7 linked regions of the Sus scrofa genome follow. The protein of the gene in region 6 interacts with the protein of the main gene of each other region in a pairwise test. Links are inferred from orthologs where the notes say so. Each region holds a gene or a part of one and is shown on either strand. Other genes may lie near its edges. The genes, in order: C8H4orf46, IFT20, MAP1LC3A, EXOC7, LRRC45, KXD1 and TCEA2.

What was found.
Region 1: the proteins of KXD1 (region 6) and C8H4orf46 interact in binary tests that used the Homo sapiens proteins (3 or more experiments, as listed by UniProt). The two-hybrid records come from large-scale screens. The link is inferred for Sus scrofa from reciprocal best matches to the Homo sapiens genes KXD1 and C4orf46.
Region 2: the proteins of KXD1 (region 6) and IFT20 interact in binary tests that used the Homo sapiens proteins (3 or more experiments, as listed by UniProt). The two-hybrid records come from large-scale screens. The link is inferred for Sus scrofa from reciprocal best matches to the Homo sapiens genes KXD1 and IFT20.
Region 3: the proteins of KXD1 (region 6) and MAP1LC3A interact in binary tests that used the Homo sapiens proteins (3 or more experiments, as listed by UniProt). The two-hybrid records come from large-scale screens. The link is inferred for Sus scrofa from reciprocal best matches to the Homo sapiens genes KXD1 and MAP1LC3A.
Region 4: the proteins of KXD1 (region 6) and EXOC7 interact in binary tests that used the Homo sapiens proteins (3 or more experiments, as listed by UniProt). The two-hybrid records come from large-scale screens. The link is inferred for Sus scrofa from reciprocal best matches to the Homo sapiens genes KXD1 and EXOC7.
Region 5: the proteins of KXD1 (region 6) and LRRC45 interact in binary tests that used the Homo sapiens proteins (3 or more experiments, as listed by UniProt). The two-hybrid records come from large-scale screens. The link is inferred for Sus scrofa from reciprocal best matches to the Homo sapiens genes KXD1 and LRRC45.
Region 7: the proteins of KXD1 (region 6) and TCEA2 interact in binary tests that used the Homo sapiens proteins (3 or more experiments, as listed by UniProt). The two-hybrid records come from large-scale screens. The link is inferred for Sus scrofa from reciprocal best matches to the Homo sapiens genes KXD1 and TCEA2.

The regions. Positions count from the first base shown.
Region 1 is NC_010450.4:47,605,750-47,609,886, reverse strand, and holds the start of C8H4orf46 (renal cancer differentiation gene 1 protein), read left to right. Parts: upstream 1-1,337; 5' UTR 1,338-1,556; coding exon 1,557-1,739; intron 1,740-2,971; coding exon 2,972-3,127; 3' UTR 3,128-4,137. Other genes in the region: ETFDH (electron transfer flavoprotein-ubiquinone oxidoreductase, mitochondrial), read right to left, coding at 914-947.
Region 2 is NC_010454.4:44,611,385-44,613,683, reverse strand, and holds part of IFT20 (intraflagellar transport protein 20 homolog), read left to right. Parts: 5' UTR 1-64; intron 65-468; 5' UTR 469-628; coding exon 629-704; intron 705-863; coding exon 864-992; intron 993-1,985; coding exon 1,986-2,071; intron 2,072-2,299. UniProt on the Homo sapiens protein: Part of intraflagellar transport (IFT) particles involved in ciliary process assembly. May play a role in the trafficking of ciliary membrane proteins from the Golgi complex to the cilium.
Region 3 is NC_010459.5:37,956,399-37,960,005, forward strand, and holds MAP1LC3A (microtubule-associated proteins 1A/1B light chain 3A), read left to right. Parts: upstream 1-1,431; 5' UTR 1,432-1,583; coding exon 1,584-1,623; intron 1,624-1,946; coding exon 1,947-2,002; intron 2,003-2,088; coding exon 2,089-2,195; intron 2,196-2,502; coding exon 2,503-2,665; 3' UTR 2,666-3,107; downstream 3,108-3,607. UniProt on the Homo sapiens protein: Ubiquitin-like modifier involved in formation of autophagosomal vacuoles (autophagosomes). While LC3s are involved in elongation of the phagophore membrane, the GABARAP/GATE-16 subfamily is essential for a later stage in autophagosome maturation.
Region 4 is NC_010454.4:5,341,495-5,344,994, reverse strand, and holds part of EXOC7 (exocyst complex component 7), read right to left. Parts: intron 2,308-3,500; coding exon 2,140-2,307; intron 1-2,139. UniProt on the Homo sapiens protein: Component of the exocyst complex involved in the docking of exocytic vesicles with fusion sites on the plasma membrane.
Region 5 is NC_010454.4:988,712-992,707, reverse strand, and holds the start of LRRC45 (leucine-rich repeat-containing protein 45), read left to right. Parts: upstream 1-1,196; 5' UTR 1,197-1,628; coding exon 1,629-1,848; intron 1,849-2,297; coding exon 2,298-2,359; intron 2,360-2,712; coding exon 2,713-2,783; exon of another isoform or gene 2,784-2,819; coding exon of another isoform or gene 2,820-2,893; intron 2,894-3,006; coding exon 3,007-3,185; intron 3,186-3,405; coding exon 3,406-3,546; intron 3,547-3,996. Other genes in the region: CENPX (centromere protein X), read right to left, coding at 958-987. UniProt on the Homo sapiens protein: Component of the proteinaceous fiber-like linker between two centrioles, required for centrosome cohesion.
Region 6 is NC_010444.4:59,248,094-59,252,280, forward strand, and holds the start of KXD1 (kxDL motif-containing protein 1), read right to left. Parts: upstream 2,801-4,187; 5' UTR 2,706-2,800; coding exon 2,703-2,705; exon of another isoform or gene 2,600-2,702; intron 1-2,599.
Region 7 is NC_010459.5:62,884,339-62,886,814, reverse strand, and holds part of TCEA2 (transcription elongation factor A protein 2), read right to left. Parts: intron 2,336-2,476; coding exon 2,230-2,335; intron 1,360-2,229; coding exon 1,272-1,359; intron 18-1,271; coding exon 1-17. UniProt on the Homo sapiens protein: Necessary for efficient RNA polymerase II transcription elongation past template-encoded arresting sites.

The sequences.
Region 1 (4,137 bases), on a different chromosome or scaffold from region 6:
ACTTTTTGAACTTTAAACCTTTTGTTTTTAAATAAACCACCCCCTCCAAAAAAATCCCCCAAACCACCCAACTGCATCCTACTTTTTTTTTTTTTTTTAAAAAAAAAGAGGAGGTAATGAGGTATTTTACCAAGTCATCAGGATGGTTCTAGGGGCAAACAGAACACCATAAGCCCCTAGAGTTAATTTTAGACAACGTAGAAAAATTCCTGGCTCCAGATAGTCTGATGACTCAGGCAGCATACACATGTTAATGATGATGTGCCACATTAGACTTCGAATTCTTTTTTTTTTTTCTTTTTTGTCTATTTTAGGGCTGCACCCCGGCATATGGAGGTTCCCAGGTTAGGGGTCTAATCAGAGCTGAAGCCGCCGGCCTACGCCAGAGCCACAGCAACGCCAGATCCCAGCCGCGTCTGTGACCTACACCACAGCTCACGGCAACGCCGGATCCTTAACCCACTGAGCAAGACCAGGGATCGAACCCACAACCTCATGGTTCCTAGTCGGATTCGTTAACCACTGAGCCACGAAGGGAACTCCTAGACTTCGAATTCTTAAAATGGGGTAGGATGACTGCAAATACACAAGTAAGGTGAGGACCAAGGAAAAAAAATCTGTGCAAATGTTAATTTACTCATTTGCAACAAGGCAACAGACATTACCTGAGCTTGGGATAAGAGTCTGCACCAGGACTTGGAGAGATTCCGCTCAGGAGCCGTGTTGACAAGTTCACTGCATTCATGACCTATGTCCTAGTTGTCAACTCTTCCAATTGAGACAAGCCCAGGGGAGGAACCCAGCGGCGACCCTGCGCCCTTTGCTCTGAACTAGTTCCACCCCCCAGCGGTGGTCCCGCGCGCCCCTCGTAGACCCTCGACTTTGCTCCCCGCGCCCGCAGACCCCTCCTCACCTGGGCTGGCCAGCTTGGCCAGCGGCACCATCATGCTCTCGGCAGCCGGGACCCCGGCGTACAGCGAGGGAGGAGGCCCGGCTGGGGCTCGCCCGGGCACGGGACCACTAGGCCGCGGGGGGCGCCATCCCCGCCGGGACAACTGAAGTCTCAGGCGGAGTCAGCCTCCCTACTCAGCCGGCCACTCTGGCTTCACCGTACTGCCGCCTCTTTCTTGCTGTGCGCCTGCGCCACGCGCGATATGACTGCCCGTAGGACTTCTGGGTCACAGACCAAGACGGAGAGGGTAGGGAACCCTTCCACCCGGGGCAAGCAGAGGACACCAGCGAAGACTACAAATCCCAGGGTGCAACGCGCTTGGCGCCAAGAAGCGGAGGCGGGGCGGTGCGCGGAACTCTAGGAGTTGTAGTCTTCGGCTCAACAGTCCAGGTTGCCCGACTGGGGGTTTGCGCAGGAGTGAAGAGCCGCCCAAGGCGAATTAACTGGTTTCTGATTGGCTGTCCGGAGAAAATGACTGGGCTTCGCGGTCCACCGCCGAGAGACTAGAGGAGGCGGGGTCGCTGGACTTTGGGCGCGAGCGGTTGAAAGACAGTTGGTGTCGGTTCGGCTGTCAAAGTCCGGTCCCGCCGCCCAGCCCGGCTCCATGGAGGACCCTGAGGAGCTGCTGGTTTCTTCGCCTCCCCCGCCGCCTCCCTCCTCTCCCTCTTCAAACTCATCTTCAGCATCTTCCCCAGGCGTCCCGGGGAGTTTGGGATGGCCGGTTCCAAGCAGGAGCAGCGGCCGGACAGTGGACCCCCTGGAGGAGGTGGAGCTGCAGATCGGAGACGTGGGTGTGGCCTGCGGGGCCGGGAGGGGCCGGAGGGACGGGGTCCGCGCCCAGCTAGGGGGGCTGGTGAGGAAGGGTGGGGGTCCGACGCCGCCCAAGGCCCCTTCCCCCATGTGGTGTACCAGTTGAGGCGTTGGGAATTGGGGTGTCCCTCCACCCGCCCCGCCCCGCCCGGTTTTCTTTGTGCCTGGCCATCTGGTTTCCAACACGCGCTGTAACCCGAAACCACACAGATCTCATTCGCCCCCACCTTCGCCTTTGCTGTCCTTGGGTGCTGAGGGTCAGGCTGTGATTTCTTACCCGGGGACTTAAGGACTGCTGTCCTAGTTGGCCACCTGCCCAGAGTCAGCTGACAGATATTATCTGTCCCACCGTCCTGTGCGCTAGATCCAATTAGGACGGGTTAGTCACCACCCCATGGTGCAGATTCCTTTCACTAACGGTTCAAAGACCTCTCCCTCTGAGCACTTGGCATGCCTAGTCTGGATGGTTTCTGTTGAATCTCCAATTTCCAGGCGCCCAGCTACTGGAGCGCATGAGCACACACACACTCTCTGTCTCTGTCTCTCTGTCTCTGTCTCTCGTTCCCCCGCCTCCGCCCACCGCTCCTTCCAAGTGACCCTGTAGGATGGAGTGCTGATGTGTTATCCAGGAACAGTGCTATTTCATGTAGTGGGCGAAGAAAGCATTTGATCAAGGAGTTTTCCACCAAGGGATGATTGTCTACTGCACCTGTTTTGATTTTGTTGATGTTATTTGTAAGCTGAGAGCATCTCTTCTTTGGACTATACATTTTCATAGTCTACAGCGTTCATGGGTAAAAATAGTGGAGCCATGCCCTTGTTACCCATGTATTAAGCGTTATTTATGGAGTCTTTCAGCTCCTTCTGATACTTTGTGTCAAGGGATCCAAGTCTCCTGTTGAGCTAAATCAGACTAGTGATTTGTAAATAAAAAAGTATCGACTGGTCATTTCTCATGCATAATGGATATCTTTCTAGCACATCTTACTTCCTCAAAGCTTACTTCATATTAACGAATTTCTTTGGTTCCCTGAAAGAGCCAGTATTTTAGTTCTAAGATTTTTTTTTTAACTTTTAAAGAAGATAACTTTAAATTTGAGGCATCAGATTTGAGGTTCTGTTATTTTCAGACTGGTTTGTAAAATGAGGTGAAAATTAAAAAAAAAACAACTTATATTGTTTGACTTTTTTTTTTTTTTTAAATTTCAGGCAGCATTTTCCTTAACCAAACTTCTCGAAGCCACATCTGCAGTATCAGCTCAAGTGGAAGAGCTTGCCTTCAAATGTACAGAAAATGCACGTTTCCTTAAAACATGGCGGGACCTCTTGAGAGAAGGCTATGATTCCTTGAAGGCTGACAACTGACTTGCCATGTAATAGTCCATGTGTTCTCACGATATTTGCAGATGTACCATATGGATAGGATAATCCAGCAGTTCTGTGAAATGAAAATGAAATTTTGCTTGGTTTTCTTCATTTTGTGAAAATAGAATGTTATTTTTGATGCTGACTAGTATTTATCTTTAAATACTTAATGTCTGCTAAACTTTCACACAATCTTTTATGAAAGTTAATTCAATCAGTAGATAATATAATGCCACAGTGTTACCAGTCACAAACTAGATAGACCATTTGTTTGATTTGCAAGAAGATACCAAGCATGGCAGAGTTTGAAGTTGAGCCTCATTTTTTTGGAACAAAGGAGATGACTTTAAGGTTTATCACTGTTTGACTCAGCTCTATTTGGCTAATTTCCGTAGAACCAGTTATTGTGTCTTATTTAATTCTGTATTTTCAGCACCTAGAACATTGTTATACAATAATCACTAAATGTTCAGTGACAATACAGTTAAAAGCAGCGTTTTCTCCCTGTTTTTAGCATGAAGATTATAAATTTTTCTTGAAGAAATATTTGAGTCAGAACCTCATTAACTTGGAGAAAAACATTAACATTATTGCTCTCTTTTTTAACAGGGATTTGAACTTTAACTAGTAACATCTTTTTAAAATACAAATTTTTTTGCCCTTCTCTGATGGATTTTCAAAAAAGAAAATGAAACTTGACTTGAAAGAATGCACATTTTTTCCCCTATTTATTTCTAAGGTTAACTGATTTTACAGAAATTTCTTGTATACAATGTTGTTATATGTTTGGTTGCTCTTTTAAAAGTGCCTTATCAGAATTATGGCTGTGTATTATTACTTTTGGAGCTTTACAAGTAATAATCCTAAATTCTTTCTTTTTTTTTTTTTTTGTCTTGCCATTTCTTGGGCCGCTCCCGCGGCATATGGAGGTTCCCAAACTAGGGGTCGAATCGGAGCTGTAGCCACCGGCCTACACCACAGCCACAGCAACACCAGATCCGAGCCGCGTC
Region 2 (2,299 bases), on a different chromosome or scaffold from region 6:
GCTTCATGCTCTTGTCCAGGCTGTTTTCTCTGCTCGGAATGCCTTTCCTTGACCTCCGTACTTGGTATGTTCTTGTGGATACGTCATTCCTTTTTGTGTTTTCTGCTGGAAAAAGACTGACTCAACTTTAGGTCCCAGTTCAGGCCATTGTACCTGTGGCATACATTGGGGGCAAAATTCTTACACCTGGCTTCTTATTTTTTTTTACCCCTAATTTTTAATTCACTCAGATTTTCTCTTTTACTTGCTTTTCGTATTGTTCCAGTACTGCATTCGAAAAGCTCTTTTATGTCCTTTTGGGTTCATAACTGGGGATACATGAATATACTTATGGCTCACAACTCAGTTCATGTATCACTTCCTTACCCCAAGTTAGCTGTTCTGGTCTCCTCCAGCACTTTAGTGATGTACCTGTAAACGCACTTAACATGGTATGATTTTTCAGTGCATATGTCTGTCTTCCTCCAGCTAAACTCTGTGCTCCTCCAGGGCGGGCACCATGTTGCACTCATCTTTGCCCCCAGCATCTAGCAGTGTTGGCATGTAGTAGGCACTCAAGAAATGTGTGTTCAGTGAACGATGCCTGTGACAAGCAACCGGACTTTATTCTTTCCTGACCCTTGCTCCTATGACATACCTCCTCCTGGCTGCTACTGTCACCCCTTCAGAGCAGAACTTCTCTAGGGAAGCCGGAAGGGAAACAGGTGAGACTCAGAGAGGCGGAGGCAGAGGGAAGGGGAAGCCTTTGGAGCCTCTGGGTTTCTCACTCTGGTGTCCGGGGCCAGGACTGGGGGCTGGGCTAGAAGCAGGCATTTCCTTGGGTGGCTGGGAAGTGATCGGGATTGGGGCTGGTTTCTTTACAGCTATGGCCAAGGATATCCTGGGTGAAGCAGGGCTGCACTTTGATGAACTGAACAAGCTGCGGGTGTTGGACCCAGAGGTTACCCAGCAGACCATAGAGCTCAAAGAAGAGTGCAAGGACTTTGTCGACAGTGAGTGTCGTGTGGGGAGACACGGTGCCTTTAGCTTGGAGCTCTTCCAACTGTGCCCCACCCCCACCCCTGACTGCAGCTCTTGGCCCTGGCCTTTATGAATCCCATATTCTACCCACCTTGGCTGCCTGCCCTCTTCTGCTCTCCTGCAATCTCAGAGCACCAATCAAAATAAACACTGCCATGGGGAGAGGAGGGTGTTTGTTTAGATCTGCCAGCTCAAGAACCTTAAAACTTCAGAACTGTGTCTTAGGGGTGGGAAATGGAGTTATGATTTGATTTCTTGGGAGAAATAGTGTTCTTGGTGGCAGACTTGCCATTATTTGGAGTAAAAGTTGATTAACTGAGTTTCTAAAGGCAGTTCAACAGACTCAATGAAGTCTTTTTTTTTTTTAGCTTGAGATAGCCAGAATGGCTCCTGTCCCAGCAGCCAGGCACATGCAGTAGCAGTGAATATGGAGCAGAGCTAGGCAGGGATTTCTGAGCCTCCCAGGGGCTCCATAGGCTATACAGAGAGCTTGACTGGTGAAGGTAGCTTGGGTTCTCTGGCCAGTCTTCTCATAGCTTCATGTTGTTCTACCCTCTGGGCCTTAGTTTATTCTTAAATAACATGGGGTTCCACCACACCCAGGGACTTTGAAAAAAGGCAAATGGGTGATTATGTCCTTAAATGCTTTGAGTTTTTTAATAGTTCTTGTCACAGAAGGAAAGCCCCCACCCGACTGTTAACTGAGATCTGGTGTCTGATCTGTGGTTTGTCTAGAGGCAGCGTTCATGTCCTGAGCCAGTGGGGACTCAAGATCCAAGTATGTCCCAGTCCAGCTCTGGGAACCTAGCCACCCTTCTCTAGGTTCAGACCAAGGGTGGCAGATATCAAACTTTTTTTGACAAATTAGAAGGGACAATTAGCCCTGCCTTCCTACACCAGTGGAATGCTGAGGGAGAGTGGTGATGCTGAGAAGATAAAACACTTTTTTGTTCTTTCTCTCAAAGAAATCGGCCAGTTTCAGAAAATAGTTGGTGGTTTAATTGAGCTTGTTGATCAACTTGCAAAAGAAGCAGAAAATGAGAAGATGAAGGTAAGATCAGCATGTTTTGTCTAATCTTGTCCTGGAACCCTGGCTCACTAGCCTCTCATCCTTCTGCACGCTTGACTTTTGGGGGAGGCGTTCTATAATTAAAACAAGATTTTAAATAACAATTCCTATACAAACATCACATTATGTTGTACACCTGAAACTAATATGTTATTTATACCTCAAAAAAATTCTTGATGAGAGTAGCATATACACACTTCTGTATAAATG
Region 3 (3,607 bases), on a different chromosome or scaffold from region 6:
ATATACTTTTTCCCATCTTTTTACTTTTGATTTCCTTAGGTTTTAAATGTCCTCTTGTAAACAGCAGAGCTGCATTTTATTTTTCTTGGCCAATTTGTTCATCTGTTTTAACAGGTGAATGTAAAACATTTAATACCTCTGGTTTTGTACCATTTATATACCATTCTTTTCACTTTGCTTTCCCTTTTCTCTTTTTCTATCTATTACATTTTTTTAATACCCTTTACTAAACTTTTCTCTTTTATGCATTGACATATACTTTCTATTCTTTGAGTGATCCCTCTGAAGTGTTTGAAATACATACTTGACTATACAAAGCCAGGTAATTATCAGTTAGCTTTATCCTCTTCCTCTCCAATAAATCAAGCTTCTTAAAACACTTGACCTCTGACCCCCCTCCCCAGTCCTACATGTGCCATGCTCCTGTGCTATGCTCCAGACTCATCAGCACCATTCTTGTTCCACAGCAGGTGTTTGTTTAGATCCACTTCCCATTTTACCAGCTTAGTAGCTTACCATTTTTCTAATTTCTTCTCCTTAGAGTTGGGCAAATTCACTACAGAGTGTCTAGATGAGTTTTTATTTATTCTGTTCTGGATGTTATATGAGGATCCTGGTTTTTAATCAATTTTGGAAGTTTTTCTCCAGAGCTTCACGGTCTTTTCTCTCCTTCTGGAATGCTAATTAGACCTGTGAATTCTCACTTTGCCATTTCTGTCACTTATTTTATACCATGTAAACATGGTTTGTTTTCCAGGTAATTGCTTCTGCTCTCTCATCCACTTCAGTGATTTTCTTTTTTGCTATATCTAACAGGGCTTGCTTGCCTCGTCCTTCTGAGACCTGAATTTCAGTAGCTGTTTTTCAATTCTAGAAATTCCTTCTAAAACCTCTAGGTTCCTTTTCAGTGTCTTGCTGTCTTCATGTTTTAATGCTCACCCAACCCCCCACAATGACCACTACCTTTTTCTTTCTCTAACCATATGCTCCAGGATGAAGACTTCTGGTTCACTGTTGTCATCCCCAATGCCTCATACGGTCCCTGGAACAGAAAAGACTCTGAGCGAGGGCTGTCTGACGCCTTGGTTACAGTGGAAACAGAAGGATGCTATGCCGCAGCCTGGCCAGCTCTCCCCACCGCCAGACCAGCCAGCCTGCTCCCTGGCCTTGCTGGCGTCCATTCTCCCCTCACCCTGGGCCTGGGGGAGCCCACCTCGCCTGCCCCTGCACAGGCCGTGACGTCACAGGACTGTGACGCTCACTGGGCGCCTCCCCTCCTTCGCAGTGTGGGGTTGGGGGTGGGGGCGGGAATGCAGGCTCCCTGCGCCGTGATGTCACGGGCCCGGGCGGGCAGATTTTGCGTCGGCCCAATGGGAACGGCGCGCTGGCCTCCCCTTTAAGGAATGTTATGACCTGACGTCACCCGGGCGAGTTACCTCCCCGAGCCGCCGCCGCTGGGCTCAGCGCGAGCCCCAGAGCCCTTGAGCGGGAGACGCGGAGCCCCCGGAGCCCCCAAACCACAGCCACCTCCCCGCCTCGCGCGACCGGGAGCCCCGGCCTGCGCGCTCCGCCGGGCCTGTGCGATGCCCTCAGACCGGCCTTTCAAGCAGCGGCGGAGCTTCGGTGAGGCCCGACTGGCGATCTGCGAGCGCTAGGGGTGGGGGCGTGGGGGGGTCGGGGGTGTTGGCAGATCTACTTGTCTGCCGCAGGTGACGTCAGCTTCATGACGTCAAGCTCGGGTTGGACCCCTGGGCTGGGAAGCAGGCTAGGGCCTGGGCCCGGGCCTCCGCCTCCCATCCCAGTGCTGTGCCCCGGCCCTGGCCCTACCTCCACCCGCCTGGGGCTTGGCGGGGGGCGGGGCGGGGTCGGGGGCCGCCCCTCGGGGACTAGTGGGGCGGAACCCAAGGAGAACCTCGGCTGGCCTCATCCCCGACTGCTGTCTGCAGCCGACCGCCGTAAGGAGGTGCAGCAGATCCGCGACCAGCACCCTAGCAAGATCCCGGTGAGTCCTACCGCATACCCCGCCCCCGTCCCCTGGCCCCAGGTCCAGCCTCCCGCTCACGCGTCCCCGCCCCACCTCACTCCCAGGTGATCATCGAGCGCTACAAGGGTGAGAAGCAGCTGCCAGTCCTGGACAAGACCAAGTTCCTGGTCCCAGACCATGTCAACATGAGCGAGTTGGTCAAGATCATCCGGTGCGCTGGCAGCAGCTGTCAGGAGGGGGACTTGGGTCCTGCTGGGATCAGGCATTGGTCTGGGTCCTTCTGAGAAGGAAGGGGTGGGGGTGGGACATGGGACGGGGTGCCGAAGCCCTCTTCTGGGGAGGTTGGGAACGGTCAAGGTCAGGCCTGGGATCAGTATCTTGTCAGAGGTGAGAGCTTCTAGAAGGGGCTGGGATGGGTGTGAGGGGGAGAATCAAAGTCAGGGTGGGTAGGGGGTGAGGGCTACACTCACCCAGCGGCCAGGCCCCTCACGTTTGGCTTGCCCTCCCGCCCACCTCAGGCGCCGCCTGCAGCTGAACCCCACGCAGGCCTTCTTCCTGCTGGTGAACCAGCACAGCATGGTGAGCGTGTCCACGCCCATCGCGGACATCTATGAGCAGGAGAAGGATGAGGATGGCTTCCTCTACATGGTCTACGCCTCCCAGGAAACCTTCGGCTTCTGAGCCAGCAGTAGGGGGTGTTGGCTGGGAGTCGGGGGCCCTGTCAGGCTCTGCCCAGGGAGCTCCTGGCACTGGAACTAAGCTGTCTCTGCCCCTGCCCCTGGTGGGTTGGACAGGGATGCTGCCACCCAGCCAGAGGGCACCTATCACCCCTACTCTGCCCCTGGATGGATTCTGGCCCAGTCATATTAGGGTTGCCCCTCCGGGTGCTGGCTGGGAGGGGGAAGAGTGGGAAGCAGCCCCCAGCACCCCTGCCCTGTGTGGTTTGTCTTTTTTTTAGACCCCTGCCTGTCTGCCCACCTGTCCCTCCCCAACCTGAGGCGCTGCCCATGCCTGGATCTGCCCACCCCTGAAGGACTGGGTCCTGGCTCACCTGGTCTTGACATGGTGTATGGCTCTGTGGTCATTGTCCCTTTGCAGAATAAAGATTGCTCAGGCCTGCCTGGCCCTTTGCCTCCAGCTGCTTGGGGAGTGGGGAGGGCTGTGGGTGGGGCTGCCCCCACCGTTGTCCTCTCACTGGTGCACAGACTTGTGTGCTGTGGACTCAGGGCTCATTCAGGAAACCCACGCCTGTGTATAGTGCATCGTGGGGGTACTAGAGGCCAAGCCCACCTCTTCCACGAGGGCAGCATGGTTCCAGGTAGACGTTTTCATAACAAAAGAAACATTTATTAAGTAGCCACAGCCTAACAAACCCTGCTCACCTGCTTCTTCCCCTTTCCTGCTTGGGAGGGGCTCCTGGTGTGCAGAGCCACACAGTGGGGGCCAGGTGGAGACTCCTGGCTCCGCCCCACAGGCCTTGCTGCCAGCCTTGGCTCCTCACTGGTGCCAGATATTCATGACCCTGGACTCAAACCTCATCTGCCCCAGGGCTTGCCTGCTGGCAACGCTGGCTAGAGGGCTTGGCCCAGCTTCTGGGCCTTTCGCCCCCTGAGGTCCGTGCAG
Region 4 (3,500 bases), on a different chromosome or scaffold from region 6:
AAAACAGCACTGAAAACAGACATGCGCAGCTGCCCTGATAACCAGATGGGCCGGGGCCGGGAAGGCAGCCCTGAGTGGGATCTGGTCCCTTTTCCCTGGAGACGCCCAGGTCCTCCACCGCAGCTCTGAACACGGGGAGCCTGCTGGGGTCCTGGCAGCTCCCCAAAGGACTGAGGGAGAGGGGACGGCGTCTGGAGCGGCTGTTTGTGCCAACCACAATTAGTTACTCATGAGCCAGTGTGCGGCTCCAGCCCGGCACCTGTCTCGCTGTGTTCTCCTCCTTCAGCAAGTAGTCCTGCTAATGAGCGATTCAGATTCCCGCCCCACAACCAACTAGGACCAGATGGGCCCGCCGGGCCATCAGGAGCCTCGCCAGCACACTGGCATGTATGTGGGTCGGGGACGCTGATCTGGCAGCCGCTAAAGCCATCAGGCGCCCAGTTACCACGGATGTCGCTGAGGCTGGTGTCTCGTTACCCCCGAGGCCACCCTGCCCCTCTCCTCAAGAGCTGGGGGCCTGCCTCTAGCTCCCAACATCGGACCTGAGCCCCAAGGTTCCGGACAACCCTTGAAACCCCAAAGAAACCAGAGGGACGCTCACAGCCGGCGTTTTCCTTCTAGGGCTACAGGGCTGGGATGGATGAGGTCCACTGGGAGCCCAAAGATCAGATCTCTGGTCCCTGCATGGCCAGCAGCATCCTGCATGTGGCCTGGGTTCCAGGCCTCCAGGGGTCCCAGAGGAGACAGAGGGGAAGAAAGCACAGCCCGGCCGGGGCCCAGCAGCCTCGTGGAAACAGCCGCAGCCCAATGCACGAGGCACAGGCACGAACCAGGCCTCGAGCAGGCAGCTGCGGCTGCCCTGGCTGGCTTGTAGAGTCCCTGACCGTGGCAGGTTCTCCGAGGGAGCAGCCAGGAGAGCCAAGCTGGAGGGGAAGGCTGTGCACTTTCTGCTGGGCTGCCCGGCCTCTGGACCTCGACGCTGTGCCTCTGCGGGCAGCCTCTGCCATTTCTCTAAGCCCTGAACAAAGCGCTGGGGAGGAGCAGATGCTCGGGCCACTGTGAGCAGATCTCCTGCTCTCTGAGAGGCCGGGCAGCTCGGGAAAACACTGTCCCAAGGGACGGGTCCCAGAGCAGCTGGACGGGGTGGGCGAAAGTGGGAGCAGCCCCAGGGCTCGCTGGCTCTCTCTCCTGGTGCCTGCAGCCCCTCCGCTGGAACCCCCACCCCGGCCTCTCGAAGGCAACCCCTCTCAGCAGCCAGAACAGCCAGGCTTGTCAAGCCGAAGCTGACACACAGGGACACTGTCACCTGGAGCAGAGACTACAGGGGACAGGATGATGGGAAGAAGGACAGACAGTGAGCTGCTCGCCCAGGCCAACCAACAAGCCACAGCCCAGGCCTCTTCCACCTCAATGCCCCTCCCTCAACTCTCCCACCGCAAGGCACCAACTTCTTGCGGAGCCCAAAAGCCAGGTGAGGGTCTTTGGAGAGGATGGCCTGGGATGGTTTTCTTTCTGGACTGACTGTAAAAGCATAAACGTTCCTGTATCTACTTTTTTTTTGCCATGGCTGAGGCATGTGGAAATTCCCGGGCCAGGGATCGAACCTGCGCCACAATAGTAACCAGAGCCACAGCAGTGACAACACCAGATCCTTAACCCTTTGAGCCACCAGGGAACTCCTCTGCTCTCCACTTCTTAGCTACTCATCACTTCAGGCCACTCTGGCTTTCTGGGAGGTGAAGGCTGCAGTGCCTGCCCCTCGCCCTGCACCCCTGACACCCTGCCCCAATCTCACAGCTGGGTGGCAGCAGCATGCCTGGCCTCCCAACAGGACACTAGAGGGAGAGGACGGGGGCCCAATAAGTGGCTCTGCTCCGGCACCCCTGTCACCCCACGTCTCCGTGCTGTGACCCTCCACTCCAAGGACACTTATATAAGCCCTAGACTCGGCTGGGTGGAGAGAGGAGCTCTTTTGGGGGGCGGACACCTGCCTGCTGTCCTGTGCCCCTACAGTCAGGGGCTACCGTGAGGACAAACCCTAGGGCCCTGGCGCCGCCCACCCCGGGGTGGGTGGCCAAAGGCCACCCAGGTCCCACAGCCTTCTGGCGGGTTCTGAAGTGGGCCAGGGCGGGGGCTCACCTGGCCGCTTGACTGGCTTCTTGGTGGGTGTGTCTTTCCTCTTGTTGGGGATGGCGGGGGAGTAGGGAACCCCAGAGGAAGAACTGCTCTTCCGGAAGTGCTCCTTCAGGCCTTTGATGGAGCGGTCCAGCTGGCTCGAGCGGATCTGGTAGTAGACGTTCATGAAATCTGCGGACAGACGGGTGACAGCTGGGTCCCTGCCTCCGCCAGACCCCGGGGCCCCCCTCCCCCGCCAGAGGCAGCTCCAGAGGGCAGCAGCAGGCCCGCTCTTTCCACTTGCAGACCCTTTCCCAGCAGCCTCGTGGCCTCGTCCTGCATCTGGAAAAGCCTTAAAAGGGAAGACATTTCCCCGCAGAACCAATAATTCGTTGTAAGTTCTGAAGGTGAGGGGTTTTTTTTCTTTTAGAATTTTTTTTTATTATAGTTGATCTACAACGTTCTGTCAATTTCTGCTGGGCAGGTAAGTTTTTGAGATTTTAAGAAAATAGAAAATTAGCAGCCGGATTCAACTTGGTAATGTATTCTTTTTTATCTTGTTCAGCCACACCCACGGCACATGGAGGTTTCTGGGCCAGGGATCAAATCTGAGTTGCAGCTTCGAACTATGCCATCGCTGTGGCAACGCTGGGTCCTTAACCACTGCGCTTGCCGGGGATTGAACCTGCGCCACCACTGGATCCTTAATCTACTGTGCCACAGCGGGCACTCCTCGACTTGGTAAATTTATAGGTGGTAAAGAGACAACGAATGTCACTGAGTGAAAAAACACACCATCTCTTTAGCCATGAACGAAGTGCAAATTTAAAAAAACTAGAGGACCGTGGCAGCCCTGTTAAATAGCTAAGATAAGCAAAATTAATGAAGAAGAAATAACTGCAGGGTTGTCAACAGGTCAGCAGACTGGTCCCATCTACCTGGAGAGGAACTCGAGACGGCAAGAAGGTTACAGATCTGTTCAGACAGTTCTACCTGATAACTGTACCTTTGAGAAAATACCCCCAAAGAACTCCCTAAATAAGAAGAGCAATGGGGGTTCCCATCATGGCAAAGAGGAAAGGAATCTGACTAGGAACCATGAGGTTGCAGGTTCGATCCCCCCTGGCCTCGCTCAGAGGGTTAAGGATCCGGCATTGCCATCAGCTGTGGTGTAGGTCACAGATGTGGCTTGGATCCTGCGTTGCTGCAGCTGTGGGGTAGACTGGCAACTGTAGCTCTGATTCAACCCCTAGCCTGGGAACCTCCATATGCCATGGGCGCAGCCCTAAAGAAAACTGGACAATCCAAAAATGCAAACGAGCCTGGAGAAGTATGGATGCTGTGGTACATTTCAGCAGGTCCCAACAAGTGTATCCCAAGGAACC
Region 5 (3,996 bases), on a different chromosome or scaffold from region 6:
GAGAGCTTGCAGCAGCCCGTACCTGCGGCAGCGTCGCAGCGGCCTCGCGCACCCTCCCAGAGTGAGCGCGCGAGCTTGGCGCCACCTGCTGGTCCCACCAAGAAAGCCCAGAAGGCCCTGCTGCCCCACTAGATCCCAGACTCCAGGGAAGAGCTGAAAGAGCCAGGCTGCCACCTGGGGAGCAGCTGCTGCACCGGCTTACCCTGACAACTAAAGGAGCCAGCACCAGCTGGGAGAGGGGGGTCCCCAAGCTTGCAAAGGGCAGCATGAGATCTGGGATTTGGTCAGCCTCTGTCTCTCTGTGTGGAGGACCACAACCCCCCACCCCGGCCCCGTGCCCCTCGCCTGGGACAGGCCTGCTCGTGGGTAATGACGGCAACCCCAGCTCTAGCCCGAGGCCTCAGGGCTAGGACTCCAGAGCTGCCCAGGATCCCAAGAAGGAGGCCCAGCCAGTGCTCCCCTCTGCAGCTATTACAGTGCAGGGAGGGCCCAGCCTCAGTGATTTCCCCTTTGACGCATTAACTCCTTCTAGGCCTGGGCAAAGTGGCCATCCAGGGTGAAGAGGGAGAACTCCCCCACTAGGGGCTGGCTGGACAAGGAAGTCCTCACCCAGGTACACAAAGGGCTGCTATCAAAAGCTCAGTGCTTCCTACCCTTAGCGCAGAGCAACAAAGCGAAACCCAGAGACCACTCACAGCCCGAAGGGTTTGGGAACCGAGCCTGCCGGCCTAGCGACCCACCCACTCGGGCCACGGAGGACTAAGTACGCGCGGGATGGGGGTCGTGGCCGATTCTGGGAATGGGCCGACCCTAGAAGGTACCGGCCGGCAGGACGGGGACTGGTTTAGGGCCCACACGTGGCTCACGCAGGGGGCCGGGCCCCGAGCTCGCTCCCAGTGCCTTCCCCGAGCCCCCTAGCCCGTCCCGCTCCGCCCCGCCTCGCAGTCCCTCGCTCACTTTCCGGAAGCCCGTGCCGCTTTCCTCCATGACCGCCGCCAAGTTGTGCGTTCTCAGAAGCCCGGCCCCCGCGCCTCCAGCCAATCGACCCGTAGCGCGCCTTCTGAAGCCTCGCCCCTGCGCCCCCCAGCCAATGGGGTCGCCGCGCGCGCCCACTCCCTCGCCCTAATTGGTCCTAAGCGAGCGCACCGCCCCCGCAAAGCGTCCTGGGAGTCGTAGTTTCCGCCAGGCCTTCCCGGCGCGCCCCGCTCTTCCTGGATACTGAGGGGCACCGCGGCCGCCAGCCCCCGCGGCAAGCGGGCGGGGTTCCTAGGCGCGAGGCCTGGGGCGGGGGCGGGAGCGGCCCCTCCGCTAGACGCCCCGCCCCCGAGAGCATCCTCCTCCCGGATCCTGGGCTTCGGCGACCCCGAGGATCACCCGCCCCCGCCCTCTCGGGGCCTCCCGCCAGTTGAAGCAACTGTTTGCTCCTCATTCCGCGGTTGCTGAGGGCGTAGGGTCTGTGTGCGCCCCCCTGCGCTGTCGGGGGCTCTCCGTAGACCCCAGGGGGAGGCTTACAGCCAGCAAGGACTGGGGCAGGGGAGCAGGAGCCAGCAGCCCACTTCCCCAGCCTCCCCGCCTCCGGGTGAGGCCTGTCTGGGAGCTTTGCCGGAAGCCCCGCCAGCCCTTCCCTCATGGAGGAGCTCCAGCGCGCCTACAGCCGGCTGTGCAAGGAGAGCGGGGCCGAGCCCCAGGAGGCCGTCCTGCAGCGGCTGCACGGGCTGCTGCGGGGCCGGCTGGACCTGGCCACACAGAGCTTGACGCTGGACACCTGCAGGGCTCTGGGCAAGCTGCTGCAGAAGGAGGCGCTGCTGACGGAACTGGTCCTGAGTGACTGCATGCTGAGCGACGAGGGTGGGCACCGACGGACCGCAGTGGCCACAGCAGCCCTTGCAGCTTCGAAGGGCGGGCAGGGGTCGGCGTCCCTGGGCTTGTTTGCCCTGCTGCTCAGCACCCCCAGGCCTTGGTGCTCGGTGGCCCGCCTGTCCTCTTCTTTGGGAGTCTCCCCTTCACTGTAGTCAAAGCAAGCAGCAGCATTCACTCGGGAAACTGGGGAGCATCTCTCTGTAGCGAAAAAACCTTAGCGCCCCCAGCCAGCTGGCTTAGGAGAGTCCGCATGGGGGGGGGTCTGCAGCCGGACTCCGCACCTGCCGCGTGTCAAACCTGACACAGGAGTGGGGCGACTGACTCATTTTTGGCATGAACCCTGGCTGGTCGGGGACCCTCGTCCCTTCCCTCCGTCTGGGGAGCTGCCCCTGATGGAGCCACCAGGAGCGGAGAGTGACTGTCCTGGTCCCTTACAGGAGCCACGATGTTGCTGCAGGGACTGTGTGTCAACACCGTGGTGCGGTTTCTGGATCTAAAGGTGGGTGGATCTGCGCTTAGGGCCCTGCCCCCCGGCCAGGGAGAGTAGCGAAGCTGCAGTTGTCCTGGGGCCCGGGGATCCCGATGGCGGCGAGAGATGGTGTCTGTACGCACTGACTCTCAGTCTCCTGCACGTGTGCCAGTGTTCTGAGGGCAGGAATGTGAGTTCCAGAGCATTCCACAGCAAACCAAGAGCCTGCATCAGGGGGCCACTGTGGTCAGGGAAAGCAGAATCTGAAAGGATTCCGCGCTTCCCGCCCATAGCTCGCTGTGACCTCACCCACTTCCCAATGAGGGTGTTCGGAGCCCGGCCCAGGACTCCAGGAATGACGGGCTGGCCTCTTCCTGTTCTAGGGCAATAACCTTCGCGCTGCAGGAGCTGAGGCTCTGGGAAAACTCCTCCGACAGAACAAGTCCATCCAGAGGTGAGGTGGCGGTCCCAGCCTTTGCTCCTTCTCAGCATGGCTCTGGGTTGGCTCCAGAGGACGCGGTGCACTCCTGCGCGCCAGTCTTCCTGGGCTGCGCATGGACGGGGGTGAGTGTTTCTCGAGGCTCCAGCCTCTTTACCACAGCCTCTCGAGCCTGGTGCAGCCCATGGAAGCTGGAGGCCCCATGAGGCCACACACCCCCCGTGCACCCTTCCTGCAGCCTCACCCTGGAGTGGAACAGCCTGGGCCCGTGGGAAGACGCCTTCGCCACTTTCTGCGGCGCCCTGGCAGCCAACAGTACCCTGCGGCAGCTGGACCTCCGCAACAACCAGATCAGCCACAAGGGCGCCGAGGAGCTGGCCCTGGCCCTGAGGAGCAACGCCAGCCTCCAGCAGCTGGGTGAGGCCGCCTGGCTCCGGGCCCTGGTCCTCAGACCAGGCTGGGCGGTCTTGGTCGGGGCAAGGGCTTCATCTCTGGCCCCTCAGCCCTGGCTGCTTCCTTTGGTCTGTCCCAGAGCGGAGGGTGTGGGGAACGAGGGCCCCCGACACAGGCAGTGCTGCCCCGCAAAGGAAGTGTCTCAGGCTGCGCCAGCCCCCAGCCCCACCCTGTGCGACCCCAGGTTTCTTTCCAGACCTGCGCTGGAATCACATCGGCCTCCTGGGGGGCCGGGCCCTGGCGAACTGTCTCCCCAGCAACAGAACCCTGTGGAGGCTGGAGCTGGCTGGGAACAGCATCCCCAGCGACGTCCTCAGAGCCGTGGGTACGGGTGGCTTGCACTCCGGAGCAGGGCACAGCGCTGGCCCCTGTGACGGAGGCCTGGCTACCAGGGGAGGAGCTGCTCTGGGCAGCACGAGGAGACACTTCATGGTGGGAGCCGACTGCCCGGTGCTGCTCCTCACCCCCTCGTGCCACAGTCCCCTTCCATCACGACCCCACCTCTGGCCCCAGGGCGGCTGAGCGCCCTGCCACTCCCCTCAGCTCCCTGCCCTGCCTGCTGTGGCGCAAGCTCTTGTAATTGCTCTGCCCCCAGAGCTGCTCTTGGCTGATCGTTTTGTAAACGCTGCCTTGGCTTTTAAGAGCCCACACGCACCTCTTAAAAGCCAAGCAGCGGCCTCTGACTTCTGGGGCAGGGACTAAACACCTACCTCTGGTGGCAGCGGAACAGCCTGCCCCTCCTCCCCCTGCGGGCCTCCCACCCCCACCCCCTTGG
Region 6 (4,187 bases):
AGTCACTCTTATCACTTCACCTTGTTTTAACTGCTGCACTGGCACATCTCTTTCTGAAGTTATCAGTCGACCCATTTGCCTGTCACCCCTATAGCAACGTCAGCTGCAACAGAGCAGAGGCATGTTGTTTGTGCTCACTGCTCTGTCTCCAGAGCCTGGCCCAGAACCTGGTTCACACCAAGGATTGGGAAAATTAGTTTGGTGGAGGCAAACGGACCCTTTCAAACCCAGCTCTGAAGCTGGATTAGAAGTTAAAGGCAAGAACGGGAGTTCCCTTCATGGCTCAGTGGTTAACGAATCCGACTAGGAACCATGAGGTTGCGGGTTCGATCCCTGGCCTTGCTCAGTGGGTTAACAATCCGGCGTTGCCGTGAGCTGTGGTGTAGGTTGCAGACATGGCTCGGATTCTGAGTTGCTATGGCTCTGGTGTAGGCCAGTGGCTACAGCTCCGATTACACCCCTAGCCTGGGAACCTCCATATGCCACGGGAGTGGCCCTAAAAATGGCAAAAAGACAAAAAAATAATAATAACAATAAAATAAAATAAAATTTAAAAAAAAAAAAAAAAAAGAAGTTAAAGGCAAGAACTTGGGGCACTGGCAGCCAGGCTGTGGGTCCCAGCAACTCAGATGGCTTGGTAGCCTCCAGCTTCCTTGACACACAGATGCCATCCCAGGAGGTGAAGACTTCCTGGACCATGCCAGGGCAGGAGGGGGCCACAGCTTCAGGACTGACCTTCCTGAGGGGGTTCAGGAAAAACCCAGAATCCTGACACAGCTTGGCTCTAGGGACTGCACATTTAATGGCCCACAGAAAGGCCCACATGCAATTGATTATATTCACACACAGGATCAGGAAGGGCTTTCAGAGCCTGCTAACTCTACTCCCCTCTTTGTTACCTACTGTATGCTAAACAGGACACCAACTTCAAACACTGGCAATTGTTATCATCCTTATTTCTATATGACAAAACTGAGTCTCAGACACTGAAGAACTGAGCCACTGTCACATAGCCAGTGAACTTGAGTCACAACTTAAATGCCACGGTCCACAGGATCCACAAACTCTGGACAGATGTTCAGTATCCACCTGTGACAGAACAACTGCTTCTTACAGCAGCTGATTCCTGCCAGACTTCTGATTTTTTCCAGAAAAAAAGCTGAGTTCTTTAGTGGCACAGTAGGTTAAGGATCTGTGTTGTCATTGCAGCAGCTTGATCCCTGGCCTGGGAGCTTTCGGATGCTGCAGCATGGCCAAAACAAACAAACTGAAACATATATTTTTCCCCTTATGAAATCGCCTCATTTACAAATGTTAGCAACTAACACTTTTTTTTTTTTTTTTTTTCCCCAAAGCTATAGAGGCTGAGAGTACATATCTATTTGTGCTCTGAATCTAGCTAGGGTCTGCAGCCTTATGTGCCTTCTGGAGATGAACTGCCACACCTGATGAAACCCCCCTCCCCCGCCCCCAATAATCACCATGTTTATTTTGTTCTGACTGTGTGCCAGGTATGGACGCTCACAGCCTCCACATTTCCAAAGATCATATATAAAGAGGATACTTGGGCTCTCAAAGGACAGAGGCATGTGGCAGGAACCCCACAACTAGGCCTGGAGGGCAAAACATTTGGACCCCGGGAAATGGTTCTGCTTCAAAGTAAGGCTCTTTCCTGTCTCTGGCTCCCAGATGTGAGGGCTGAGAGATTCAATGCATACTCCCTCACCAGCTGCTTCTCACGGGAAGCCTTCCCTGACTAAGTATCGGTCTGACCCATATACAGGGTGAAAAATGATCCAGTATAGGCACTAGTCCCAGCTCCAAATATATTTATGGGGGAAACACGCAGAGAGGGAGGCTCCGTGACCTTAGGAAAGTCACCTCACCTCCTGGGTCCTTCTCATCCAGAAGCTAGGAATAACAAAGAATCAGAATCTCACAACACTATCTTTGGGTAATGAAACCAATAGTGATGAGACAGTGGACTGGTAGCAGGCAGTTTCTCCGAGGGGAGTGTTAAGAAAACCTAGGACTGGGCCAAGAATCACTATTCTAATGAGGGTCTCCCCAGTGCTTCCAAGAATACAAACGAACACTTGTAAAACACTTCATTTAATCCCTAATCACCCCTGAGAGGCAGATAGACTGACACTATCATTTCCGAAGGCAACCAAGGCTAGAGAGGTGGGCTCAGTTGCCCAAGGTCACACACCTAGGCAGAGAGACGCCGCGACTCCACCTAGATCATTTAACAGAATTTAACTGGGCTACCCCAGCTCTGCAAAACCCCCCAGTGCGGCGGGGCTCACAAAGCCCCTCAAGCCCCGCCCCTGTGAAGCCGGGAAACTGAGGCCTAAGCAGGGAAAAGCCCGGTTCTGGGTGATATAGCACAGCTTCAACATAGACGCCCCCAACTCTGGCGCCCCGGATCCGGATCCAGCCCACGGCGCCGTCCGCGCGTCCACTGCGCAGCCGGGGAAACTGAGGCCTGTGCGCAGGGTGTCCAGATGTTGCCAGCGGCGCGCCCCACCCCGCGACAGCCCGGGGACTGCTCCCGCCCGGCCCAGCTGCCCAGAAGCCCCTGCGTCCCCAGCCCCACCCTGAACTCGGCCCCGGCGTCGGTGGCAGCAGCACCTGCACATCTGGCGGCCTTGCTCGCGCTTCCGGGATGGCGCCAGTGCCGCCTCAACGTCATCACGTACCATGAGTGCTAGCGCGCGTGTCCGCAACGTGCCCGGGGCCGACTTGCGTGCGTGGAGGCGCGGCAGGAAGAGGTGGGACTTAGACGCAGTTACTGTTTGCGGGGAGGGGGTTCATAACAAATAGCCAATCAAGCAGTCCCTCGCGCGCCTGCGTAGTTTCCAAAACCCTGCTCCTTGGCAGCCCGGAAGGGCGGGGGGAGGGGTGGAGAGAGAGGCTGAAAACACGCCCAGTTTTGTAAGTGGTAAGACAGAGATCCGAGAGTGGCGGGCATTCCCACAAGGGCATATAGTGCTCTAGTGGCCTGTGGTCGACCCAGACCCACGTGTTATGTTTTCCAGGCTGGGAATCAGACTCATTCCGCTTCAAAAATCCCTGCTCTGCTTTTGGTGACCTTTTTCTGGCCAGGCTAGGGGTCAAATCAGAGCTGCCGCTACCAGCCTATGCCACAGCCACAGCCAAGCAGGATCCGAGCCACATCTGCAACCTACACCACAGCTCATGGCTACACCGGATCCTTAACCCACTGAGCCATGCCGGGGATCAAACCTGCAACCTTGTGGTTCGTAGTCGGATTCTTTAACCACTGAGCCGCAACGGGAACTCCGGATTAATTATCCTTAGTTATTGAGGCCTTGTGATATGTGTTACATATTATATATCTTATTTTTCTGGTCCTCAGTTTAACTGTGAGTCCAGGTGAACACAGGATCTGCCTCTTAAGGTTACCAAGAGCTTGGGAGAAATACACATGCTCCTGGGCACACGGAAGTCTCTTTGAGAGCCCTGGAATTGGACATATCTGAGTTCAAATTCCAGTTCTATCAAATCCTGGTTGGGGGGGCCTGGTGCAAGTGGCTTAACTTTATGAGATCATGCAGGTAAATCTCTTGCAACAAAAGACTTGGTCCAATGCAAGCCCTCAATAAACTAGGGGTAAACTGTATTATCACTGCCATGCTCTCCTTCCTTCATTCATTGAATAGTTAATGATGACTAGGATTCTTATTTATAAGGCCAGGATTCCAGGATTTCTATATATTCTTATAGTTGAATCAATAGTTTTTGTTTTGTGGGTTTTTTTTCAGCTGCCCTGCAGCATACAGAGTTCCCAAGACAGGGATCAAATCCAATCTGCAGTTGCAACCCAAGCCATAGCTTTGGCAACACTGGATCCTTATCAAACCTGCATCCCAGAGCTCCCAAAACGCTGCTGATGCTGTGGTGCCACAGTGGGAACTTGAAACCAATAGTTTGTTTTGTTTTTTGTTTTTTTGGGTTGTTTTTTGTTTGTTTGTTTTTGCTTTTTAGGGCTGCACTTGCAGCATATGGAAGTTCCCAGGCTAGGGGTCCAATCAGAGCTACAGCTGCCAGCCTACACCACAGCCACAGCAACGTCAGATCCAAGCCGCATCTACAACTCATACCACAGCTCACGGCAATGCCGGATCCTTAACCCACTGAGCAAGGCCAGGGATCGAACCCTC
Region 7 (2,476 bases), on a different chromosome or scaffold from region 6:
GCTCGGGCCTCTTGCGGCTGCAGAGAGACAGGCCCACTCGGGCCGCCAGCACCCCCCGTGAGACACCGGCCCCCAGAAAAGACAACGTCACAGCCACGAGACCCCCAGGCCCCACCTGCTCCAGCCGGACGGCCCTGCCCCTCTGCGGTCTGGCCCAGCACGTCCCTGGCGTCGGCTCAGGCGGCCAGAGGCAGCGCGGCTCCCAGAGCCAGGAGTGCTCCCAGCGGGGGTCCCCACCCCCAGGGGCCTGGAACACGGGGCCACGCTGCCCAGTGCAAACCGCCGGGTCAGGCAGAAGCAGACGGGGCTGGAGGCCGCCCCAAAGCAGGTACCACTCCGCAGGCAGCCCCACCCAGCACCCCCCGCGGGCTGTCTGGGCGTCCACCCAGCCCTCCCCTCACGCCCCTGCATCTCGTGACCCCGTGACCTCCACGGAAGTCAGTGGAAACAGGAGGCTTCCTGGAGAAAAACAACACGTGCAGGTGGGCGGATGAGCCACACTGTGAATCCAAAGCTCAGCTCTTCCTGGCCCCTGGCCCCTGCTGCCCAGTTGGGTCAAGGGCAAGGCAGCCTCTCAGCACAGTCCATCCCCACGACCACCGTCCCTGGGGCAGTGGGCCCAGCGGCCAGGGGCAGCCCCGGGAGGGCGGAGCCGGCCCACAGGCACCGGAGCCCAGACCGGGGCCTGGAGCCAGGGGATGTGATTAGTGGGTGCCCACAGGCCACTGAGGGTGTGGGTCAGCTCCCTGTACCTGGGCAGACACAGCCTCCCTCAGACATTCACGGCTGAAAAGACCCAGAGAAGTCCCTGGAGGGAAAGTGTCCAGCAAGAGGCTGATCGGGGAGTGGTGCAGTGGTTAACGAATCCGACTAGGAACCATGAGGTTGCGGGTTCGGTCCCTGCCCTTGCTCAGTGGGTTAACGATCTGGCGTTGCCATGAGCTGTGGTGTAGTTTGCAGACACGGCTCGGATCCTGCGTTGCTGTGGCTCTGGCGTAGGCCGGTGGCTACAACTCCGATTCGACCCCTAGCCTGGGAACCTCCATATGCTGTGGGAGCGGCCCAAGAAATAGCAAAAAGAAAAAAAAAAAAGAGGCTGACCGGGCTGGGCACAGCCCCCTGGGGAGGGGCCCTCCAAGGAGCTGAAAGGGCTGTGTCCTTACGGCCTCAGCCCCCCGCCTGGAACTCAGGACACCTGAAACCTAGCAACCTCGTCTGCCAAGAAAGTGGGGACGTGGGGGAGGGGTGCACCCGCCTTCCAGATGTGCTACCTGGGATCCTTGGCCTCAGAGGCCTCCTTGGAAGACGTGGGCAGAGGCCCGCCCCTCCTCCGCTCCCTGGCTTTGGCGTCTGAAGCATCTGCAGGTGCCAGGAAAGAAGGGAGGGCTGGCCAGGAGAAGGCAGACCCGGAGGGCCAGGGAGGGGAGCAGACCACCACCCAGGCACAGCCCCGGCCAGACCCCTGGCCCCAGCCCGAGGACCCTACCTCCAGCCCCAGCTTCCTGGGGGCCCGCTCTCCCCAAGCCAAGAACAGTCCCCAAAAGGCTCCCAAACCACTTTCCCACACACGCTCCTACGCAGCAGGCCACCTGTGAGGCGCATGTGGGGGCCCCATCCTGGCAGAGGGGCTGCCGCTCGCCAAGTGATCCCTGAGCACAGAGACCCCCCCGAGAGGTGGCCTCCACAGAGGCGTGTGAACTTGGACCAGAAGCGTCCCGCACGCCACCAGGGGAAACGTGCTGGTCCAGCACGCAGCCCGACAGGACTGGAGGAAAGCCCGGGACGCACAGCTGTTTCCCGGGGCTTCGGACCAAGCTGGGAGGGGCTCGGAAGGGAGGGGAAGCTCAGGGTCCAGGGTGGGCACTTCTGCACCCCAGGGCACCCCACTGTCCCCAGAAAGGGGCCACCCCTGGTTCCCTCTGAGTGGCTGTGGACCTTCTTCCTCCTCGCCCACTACCCTCTCCCCCAGGTGGGGACATTCCCCCGCGTGGCATCCCCCAGCTCCGCTGGGTCCCCCTGAGGGCTCAGCACTGCCTCCTCCCTCAACGGTCCCCTTGCTCCGCGTGGAACCCTCCCCTCCCAGCCCTGAGCCGGAGCCTCCTGGACCAGGCCTGCCCCCCACAACTCCTGGGGGCCACGGCTCAGGGACAGCATAGCCAGCGCCCTGCCCAAGGCTGACCTTGGGGTGCCCCTCGCCCCAACACTCAGCCCAGGCTGCCCGACCCGCACCCAGGAGCTTCTTCCAGGACTTGATGAGAGACTTGGCCAGTGTGACAACCTCCTCGTCCGAGCTTTGCTTCCGCAGGGCGTTGACAGACATGCCGACGCGGGTGGACTGCAAGGCAAGCGGCCGGCTGGGGGCGGGCAGACCTTCCCCAGTGACCCCAGCACCTCCCGCAGGGCAAGGCTGGGGACTCCGCCTGAGGATGACTGGGAGGGACAGTGTCAACGCTCGAACGCCCCCCCCATCTCACTG